2 linked regions of the Canis lupus familiaris genome follow. The protein of the gene in region 1 interacts with the protein of each later gene in a pairwise test. Links are inferred from orthologs where the notes say so. Each region holds a gene or a part of one and is shown in the gene's direction. Other genes may lie near its edges.

Region 1 (4,288 bases):
CTCTGCTCTCCCAGAAAGCCCAGGAAGGCCCAGCAAAGATGAGTTTTCTTCATCCATTGGGCTTCTTCCTAGGGAGGAGAAATACAAAGCTCAGAGAAGTGCTGTGACTTGCCCAAGGTCTCTTATAAGTGAGGGCAGAATGGGACTCATGGACACAGCTTCCCTGAAACCAGAGCTAAGCATAATGCCCATGTCACCGGGGCTTCCTTGGATCCAGGCAACAGGGATGGTGCTGACTGCCAACCCAGCAAGCTGGGACCCATACTCCAGACTCTGCTGTGAGGGGTTTCTGCTGATCCCACCCTTTCTGGGGTAGGAACCTCTCCAAAGTCTGTCTCTTCAGCTTTGTCTTCTGTCTCCCTCTGAGCCTCACACAGAGCTTGGCACATTGCAGGAGCCTCATGGGCACCTGTTGAACCCAATGCAAGGGGTGGATCCTGTTGCTCTTGTGAGTGTCAGGCCCTGCGAAGGGGTGAGTCCATAAATTCCTCTTATGAGGATAACGGTGAGCCAAGGGCTTTACATTTTTCCTATATGGATCCCTTTGGCAGTCTAGCAAAGCTGATGCATCCCTTCTCAGAACCATTTTTGAGTTTTTTTGAAGTACGAACACATCTACACAAAAGTGCACACATCTATAGTGTACATCAGTGAATTTTCAACAAGTGAACACTACTCGTGACCCTGGCACTCAGCTCAAGACACCGAAAGTGACCAGCACCCCAGGAGCCCCTGGCCCCTGCCAGGCCCCAGCTCTGGAGGAGAGCCCCTATTGGAATAATGTTTCCAAGTGCATATTGCAAGGCGAGGGTAAGAACGGGGTTTCAGCGCTGATGGAGGGCTCTGCGTGCGCGCCTGAGGCTGGCGAGATGGAGTATGGGGTACGGGGGGGGGGGGATTTGTCGGGGAACGGGGTGTCTGAGTGAAAGTTGCCGAGTGCGTGGGTTCGGGTGTGTATTTGGTAGGGTTTGTGGGCGGTTGGAGGGTGGTCGTCAAGAGGCGTGTGCGGGGCTTGGGGGGACGCTCGAAGGACTCGGGCGCAGGTCGCGAGGCACCGCGGGGAAGCGGGGCGCTCTGAGTGGGGTCGTGGGTCTGTGGGGGGAGGTCGCGGGGGCGGGGCCTGGGGAGGGGCGGGGCCTCGGCGGGCTGGGGGCGGGGCCGGCGGGCGCGCGCACGCAGCCGGCGCGCCCCCTCCCGGCCGCCATGTTGGCTGGTGTGTGGGTGTCAAACGGAGCTAGACGCGGCGGCGGCGGCGGCGGCAGCGGCGGCTGCGGCGGCTCCGCGGGCTTCGGTCGCTCCCGCCTCCCCAGTGCCACCCGCGGCCGCAGCCGCGTACCCGGGCAGGCTCGGAGGAGCGGAGGTGAGCCGGGGCCCGCGAGCCTCGGGGGCGGGGGGGTGGGCGGGCGGGAGCGGGGCCCCCGGGCGCGGACCCTCCCCTCCCCGGGGCGCGGACGCCCTCCCTGCGCGGCTGCCCTCCGGCCAACCCCCCAGAGCCTGCCCGGGCTGGGTCCCCAGCTCAGGTGGGACCCTTTCCTTTCCAGCCAGGCTCCGCCCCACGGGTTGGAGCATGGCCCCCTCCCCATCTGGATCCCGCTTTCAGCCTCAAGGGAGCCCCCCCCCCCAATCTCCCTGTCGGGGAACTCTCCCTCTTACGTCCTCGGAGTCAGGGGCTCAGCTCCAGGAGCCTCTCCAGGCCCTCATCCTCCACCTTTCTGCGGGAACCACCCCGCCCCTCCTCCCCAGAGCACTTTCCTCCCCGGGTCGGGCCGGGCGCCCCCTTCCTCCCGAGCCGAGCCCGATCTCCCTCCCGGCCGCCCCCGTGCACAGCCCAGCCCCTGTTTCCTCCAGGAATCGGGGGAGGGGTCCTCGCTGTCCAGGATTGCGTCCGGTCGCCGCTCTCCTTCGGGCTGGAGCTGGGGGCCCCTTTCCCTCCCCGGGGACCAGGTTCTCCCTCCCCACCCCCGACCCCCACGGCACAGCGGGGACGGGGGCGGCAGAGCCTGGCTCCAGCTGCCTTTTGTTCCGCGTGGGATGCCAGAGACCCCGCCCGGCGGTCCCGTTCGGCTGATCCGGGTGGGTGAATGGGTGCGTGGGGGCCGGCCTCTTCAAGGAGACCCTTCCTCTCTCTGCCCGTGGGGCGGCTCCCCCAGAGCGGAGCGCGTTGGCAGAGGCTGGCCCTTCCTAGAGGAGTCCGTGCCAACAGGTTTTTGTTTGCGACCTGAAGTTGGCCCAGTGGCTTCGCGGGGAGGGGTTGGGGTGGGGAGTGGGGGCACCTTGCCCTCCCCAGAAACCCCTGCAGGGGCCTGTGAAAAGCCCATTCCTCCTCCCAGGGGCACGACAGCCTGGGGTCCCTTCACTGTTTTGTCCTGGGGACGCGTCTGAAATCTGTGCTTTACGAGAGGACCGGGCTTGACCATCATTGGGGTCCAGAGATGCAATGATTTGCCCAAGGTCATGCAGTGCTACTGTGTCACTGCCAGAACTAGAAGCTTGGTCTCCCGGGTGCTCTCTTCGCACATTTTAGAATTTTAAAAGCGATGTTCAGGATAACACCCCTTCCCCCCCTCTTATTTTTAACATTCACACAAGATAATGGGCAGGAAAAGATGTGAAGTATGAGTTCTTCTTTTCTGCCTCCTCCCAAAAAAGCCCTGTGAAAGGAGAGGTTGGAACAGGAGGTTAAAACGATTGAAAAAGGTGAATTTTAATTACCACTCTCCCAATTACGTAAGATAATGAAGATTTGGCAGAAAACATGTACATCTTGTAGCTCTAGATAGCAGATGATAGGTGCTGGCAAAATCATATACTGAATCCTGCACAACAGTGATTGAGTTTGCACTGATAATTAAGTTTTCATCTGTATTTAAATGAACATCAGAAGGGACTCTTTTTTTTTTCTGACTTGTTCTTGTTCCAGTTGATTGTATTTGGGATAAGTGATGGTGTTGGGGAAGCTACCAAGATCTGAACTTTTATCTGTCTGTATTTTTACTTTTGTATTTTTAAAGCTTAGTAGTTTCTTTAGTTTTAACATTGGGTTGGTCATGTTACCACTGGACTTTTCTTTTGTAAGCATTGAATGAAATACTGGCTAGTAAAGAGTTGGGTAAAGTGCAAATTATTGTCAGACGTGATTCAGAATTGTATCCCACAAGACCCTGGAGCAGGAGCAAGTTTGGATTGTCCTGTGGGATATATTGATCTCTCAAGGAGGCTTTTTGCCTCCTTGAACCTCCAGTTTGACAGATGAGGAGTTTGGTGGAGAACTGTCTCCCAGCAAGGTGCGTTTTGTCAAACACGGTGGCACATGTTTGGAAATGTAAAACTTTCAAGTGATGATACTTAGCATGGTATATGCAGCCTTGAAAATGACCCATCCCGGGGGTGCCTCAGTGGCCCGGTCAGGTTAAGCGTCTGCCTTTGGCTCAGGTCATGATCTCAGGGTCCTGGGCTCCCAGGGTCCTGTTTTTCGTTGCTCCTCAGGAAGCCTGCTTCTCCCTCTCCCTCTGCCTGCTTGTGCTGTCTCTGTCAAATAAATAAATAAAATCTTAAAAAGGAAAGAAAATAACCCAACCCATAAAAAAGCCCTTGGAAAAACACAGTTGATGCCTCTTAGGTAACTGGGCTTCCATGGTAAGGCGTGGCTTTCCTAAGTGTTGGGATTCTGATAAGAGTCCTGCAAAAAGTAGATGAAGAGTTTTTAGGACTTTGATTTGTTTCAGTGGCTTGCCTCTTCCTGAACTTAAAAGAGTGGGCTTTTTTTTTTTTAAATAAAGATTTCATTAGGTTGAGGGTAAACTTCAGTCTTTGGTGGGCTAAAGTGCCAAGAAATTTTCATGCATGGAGCTCTCTTTTCATACTCTTGGGAAGTGCAGTAAAGCTTTCGGGCATTTGTTCTTCCTATTCCCCAGAACCTTCCTGTTGGATTGATGGGCCATGGATGACTGTGGTGGTTGTCACTTGATGGCAGGAGTACCTGGTGACCCCGAGCCTTGCAGAAATAAAAGGGCTTGCATTGGGGGAACTTGAGGTTGGGGAGAGAAGGAATTTTGTAGATCTCCCCAGCCCCCCCATTTGTCTGCCAGACTTTCTGTTCGTGTGTTCCGTTTAAACAGACCTATTCTGTCAAGCCTTTGGCAGCCAATTTCAGCAGAGTCCCTCTCTAACTCTTCTCTCCAAGCCTTGCCACCCCCCAAGCAATCTTTTAGAGTGCTTAATCACCTTGTCTCTGTATCTGGGGCTTTTGTGGCACAGTGACATCTTTGAGGCTAGTCTTTGTTTACTT
Region 2 (4,592 bases), on another chromosome or scaffold:
CTGTTTGAACTTAACAAACTGGCAATCCTTCTGTATCTGCACATGGAATTTGCCTTCATTAAAAAAAAAAAAAAAAAAAAGGGATCCCTGGGTGGCGCAGCGGTTTGGCGCCTGCCTTTGGCCCAGGGCACGATCCTGGGGGGACCCGGGATCGAATCCCACGTCGGCTACCGGTGCATGGAGCCTGCTTCTCCCTCTGCCTGTGTCTTCTCCCTCTGCCTCTCTCTCTCTCTCTGTGACTATCATAAATAAATACAAATTTAAAAAATAAATAAATAAAAAATTTTAAAAAAAGCTGCATAGACTTCGCGAGCCAAAATTAATTTAACTACTGGAGCAGATCACGTCCATCGTGCAGTAATTTATTGCACTCGTCCTGCAAGGCCCCACCTGCTTGTGCTTAAGACTTCCCAGAAGGCTGTTACATGTTTCATCTTTTCTGGGTGTTGATCCCTCACCTAGGAAACTCTAAAAGATAAGTCAGGCAGGTGGGTCCCCAGGTTGGCCATCACATGTCAGGGAATCAGCTGTACTGCTTAAACTCAAACTTCCGATCCTTTAAGATTAATGATGCACCAGCACCACCACGTGGGGAGTGACACCCTTCTTTCCTCCCCTGGAAGATCCACCTCAGGGTCTCCTGGGTGGTTCAGTGGCTGAGCATGTGCCTTTGGCTCAGGTCTTGATCCCGGGGTCCTGGGATCGAGTCCTGTATCAGGCTCCCCGCAGGGAACCTGCCTGTCTCTCTCTGTCTCTCATGAATAAATAAAAAAATAAAAATAATAAAAAAAGAACTACCTCGGACGTGGAGATACATAATTACTACAGCTGCCCAAGGGCGCCGCCCAGTGCTGGGGCCCAAGCTGAAATGACTCAGCTGTATTTCATAAACCACATAATGGGGCTGCCGGACTTGCCTTGTCCGGGCTCCTAGGTCCTTTCAATGACTGTGAGTCTTGTTGAAATCTTACAGCTGGAAAGCTCCCGGGCGGGCCTGACCGAAGCCAGATCGTTCTAGAGGGAGCAGGGCCACCGCGAGGCCTGCGGGGCTGAAGGTAGAGGCGCTCCCCACCGGACCCTGGTATTTGGTGCAGGGGTCAGGTCGGGCCACCGGACAGTCTCACCCCCAACCTCCGAGGGTCCGGGTCTGACTTCACGACAGGGATGCTCTGGCAGCCCGCCCCGTCCTGGACCCGGGTCTTGCGCTCATCTACACGGCTACAGTGACCACCCGGATCAGGGGCAAAGTCATGTAGACTCAGTGTTTCACAAATAAAGATGCCCTAGCAAGTGACTGCTCAGCATTCCCCACACCCGGTTTAGATTCCCACCGCCGCCCCCTCATTCTGTGAGTATTCACTTTTGTGCTCAAGGCCTTTCCGAGTAATACCCCTGTGACGTGTCCAACTGTTTATTCCGGTCCCTTGGAAGATACGAAGGGCTGTGCGTAATGCGCAGGCCGATTAGTTATGCAACTGGGGCAGTCAATCCGGCCTGGAAGACTACAAGTTCCAGAGTGCATCCTTCCGCTAACGTAGAGAAAAGCCGATTGAGGGAGCATGGCCTTCTGGGAATTGTAGTCTTCAGCTTGTTTGTGATGCAGGCGAAACGGGAGGGGGAGTGAGTAAACTATTACCACGTGACGCTCGAGATCAGGTGGTTGGACCAGGCTCCGCACAAGAGCTGTGATTGGCTGGCTCTAATACGAACGACGCCACTAGGGGCGGGCCGTGGAGGGGCGCAGGCGCACTGCGTTGAGAGTCTCGGGACCCTTTTCCGAGAGACTATGGCGCTCAACAAGAACCACTCGGAGGGCGGCGGAGTGATCGTCAACAACACCGAGAGGTGAAAACACGGCGGAAGGATCCTGGAAAAACGATGGGGGGGGGGGCGTGGGCGGTGGGCGGCCGGGGATGAACCGGTGAAGGTAAACCGACGGGGTGCGGGGGGGGGGTTAACGGCTGGAGGCGGGGCCGGAGGCCGAGGGTGGGTCGGCGGAGCGGCTGGGACGTCGCGGTTAGCTGTGGGCTGGCGCGGGGGGGCGGCGGCTGGGCAGACAGGTGGGCCCCGGGGTCGCTCTTGAGCCCCTTTCCCAGAGTCGATGACTTCACGGGGTGGGAAGAGCCTTAGACAAAAATAATTGCTACTTACTGAGTGTTTACTACGTTCCTACGCGCCAGGCTGTGCTCTTCTGCCTTAACGTGTAAGTGCGGCGCAGCGCTTAGATCATGCTGGTCTGCACGTTTTACATGCAGGGAAACTGAGGCACGGAGAGGTTAGGTGACTTGCCAGAGATCACAGGGCTGTATATGACACAGACGGGATTCCAGGAAAGGCGTCTTTAAAGTCAAAAGGCCGGCAGCCCCGCTGGCTCAGCGGTTTAGCGCCACCTTCAGCCCGGGGCGTGATCCTGGGGTCCGGGGATCGAGTCTCCCATCCAGCCTGCTTCTCCCTCTGCCTGTGTCTCTGCCTCTCTCTCTCTTTGTGTCTCTCATGAAAAATCTTAATTCTGTTTAAATAAAGTCAAAAGGCTTGACTACCAGTACATAGCCTTCTGGTATATTCCAGAACTGCCGAGTTTCCAGATGAGAGACTGAGGCCCAGAGGTGCAGTTAGATAGATAATGTTTGTCAAATGGCGAACACATTTCCTGGCACAATGTCTGTCCTTGCGTCTTTCTCTCCAGTGCCTGTTGACTTGGATCACTTCCCTGAGCAGAGGTCTCCCCGCCTCTCTCCATACCCCTCACCCCCTCCCTCACCTTCCCCCGCCCCCCGCCCGTCAGTTCTGTCCTCTTTGCTCTGGTCTCTGAACTTCTCTGTGGCTTCTCTCTTGCTCCTTGGGCACCGGGAATTAGACCATCCAGCCTCGGTTCAGCTAGGCTGACGCTGAAATTCTCTTTAAGGCGGGAGGTGCTTACGAGGAGTCTGAGTCCCTGGAAGAGACTTCAGTGGGATCAGAGCCTTGTAGGCTGCCAGGGCCAGCACCCAGGAATGCTTGATGAGTCAGGAGAAAGCCAGGGGTGCCCCGGGCTTCAGAGTGCTGACGTTCCCTCCATCGTCCCTGCTCAGGGTCTGCCAGCCCAGCCTGTTCCTGGTAATGAGCTGTTTTTCTCTGAGCTGTACCTCTTAACTATATTTGTTTTTAAGATTTATTTGTTTTAGGGACACCTGGGTGGCTCAGTCAGTTAAGCATCTGCATTGGGCTCAGGTCATGATCCAGGGTCCTGGGATCAAGGCCGGATCAGGTTCCCTGTTCAGCAGGGAGCCTGCTTCTCCTTCTCCCTCTCCCTCTGCCTGCTGCTCCACCTATTTATGGGCGCTCTCTCTGTCAAGGTTTATTTATTTTTTTTATTTTTATTTTTTAATTTTTATTTATTTATGATAGGCACACAGTGAGAGAGAGAGAGGCAGAGACACAGGCAGAGGGAGAAGCAGGCTCCATGCACCGGGAGCCTGACGTGGGATTCGATCCCGGGTCTCCAGGATCGCGCCCCGGGCCAAAGGCAGGCGCTAAACCGCTGCGCCACCCAGGGATCCCCGGTTTATTTATTTTAGAGAGAGTCCGTGCAAGCGCAGGGGGAGGATCAGACGGGGAGAGAAAGAGAGAAGCCACAAGCAGACTCAGGGCTGAGCTCAGAGTCCCATGAGAACCCTGAGATCATGACCTGAGCAGAGACTGAGGGTCCGCCACTTAACCAACTGAGCCACCTTGGTGCCCCTCTGAGCTGTACTTCTCTTCCCTGGTACCAGTCCTCTTTCCCACTTACCCTCCCCAGTGAAGAAAGTTGTGATATTTGGGAGGAGGAAGACAAATGGAACCATGTGAACTTGGACTCTGTTATCTTCTAATCAGAGAAACCTCACATTGTTCCCATTTTGTAGTCTCTCTTGAGTGCAAGCCAGTCCTAGGCCTGGAAAAACACTTCGATGCCATTTGGTAACATCTCCTGGGACTATTTTTCTTTCTTTCTCAGTGGGACTTTGTGGGACAAGAATGTATCTGTCCTGGTGGACCTCCTACCTGGCTTCGGGCTCTGTGCTGCTAAATAATGGTGTGCCTTGTTTTAGAAAATGTTTCCGCCTTGTTTCTGGAAAAAATTGTATGGCAGTTGAAGTTTAAATTAGCGTTTAAAATTTCATGTGTAAGATAGTCTTACTTTTCAAGTGATGAATCCCTTTGAGAGTGATGAAAGCCGCAGATTCTTCCAGAAAAACGCACGTACACCATCATTTCATGGACTCCCACCCATGTAGACCCAGTTCAGGAAGCCCCGGTTTAAAGAGGTGTGAAATGAGCCCTTTGGTAATGTGTAGAGTCCTGTCTTAGAGGGTTTATGGGTCAGTACTAATAAGCCAATGAAAACAGACACACATTATAGGGACTCAGAAGAAAATGGGAGAGTCAACCCAGGTAATCTAACCTGATTTGAGGGATTATGGTGTTAATGGCTTTAAAGCCCTCCGCCTCGGCTCTTCTGCTGTTGTCCCTTGAGAGGAGGGGGTATATGTGGGGCTTGGGGAAATTCTGAGGACCCCGCCTTGCTCATCTATTTCGAGGATGTATTAATAGTTTCCTTGCAGCAACGTCAA

The links.
Region 2: the proteins of EPN2 (region 1) and WBP2 interact in binary tests that used the Homo sapiens proteins (3 or more experiments, as listed by UniProt). The link is inferred for Canis lupus familiaris from reciprocal best matches to the Homo sapiens genes EPN2 and WBP2.

What each region holds. Positions count from the first base shown.
Region 1 is NC_049226.1:41,167,912-41,172,199, reverse strand, and holds the start of EPN2 (epsin-2), read left to right. Parts: upstream 1-1,225; 5' UTR 1,226-1,360; intron 1,361-4,288. UniProt on the Homo sapiens protein: Plays a role in the formation of clathrin-coated invaginations and endocytosis.
Region 2 is NC_049230.1:5,622,466-5,627,057, forward strand, and holds the start of WBP2 (WW domain-binding protein 2), read left to right. Parts: upstream 1-1,779; 5' UTR 1,780-1,786; coding exon 1,787-1,845; intron 1,846-1,886; exon of another isoform or gene 1,887-1,927; intron 1,928-2,071; exon of another isoform or gene 2,072-2,203; intron 2,204-4,592. UniProt on the Homo sapiens protein: Acts as a transcriptional coactivator of estrogen and progesterone receptors (ESR1 and PGR) upon hormone activation. In presence of estrogen, binds to ESR1-responsive promoters. Synergizes with YAP1 to enhance PGR activity.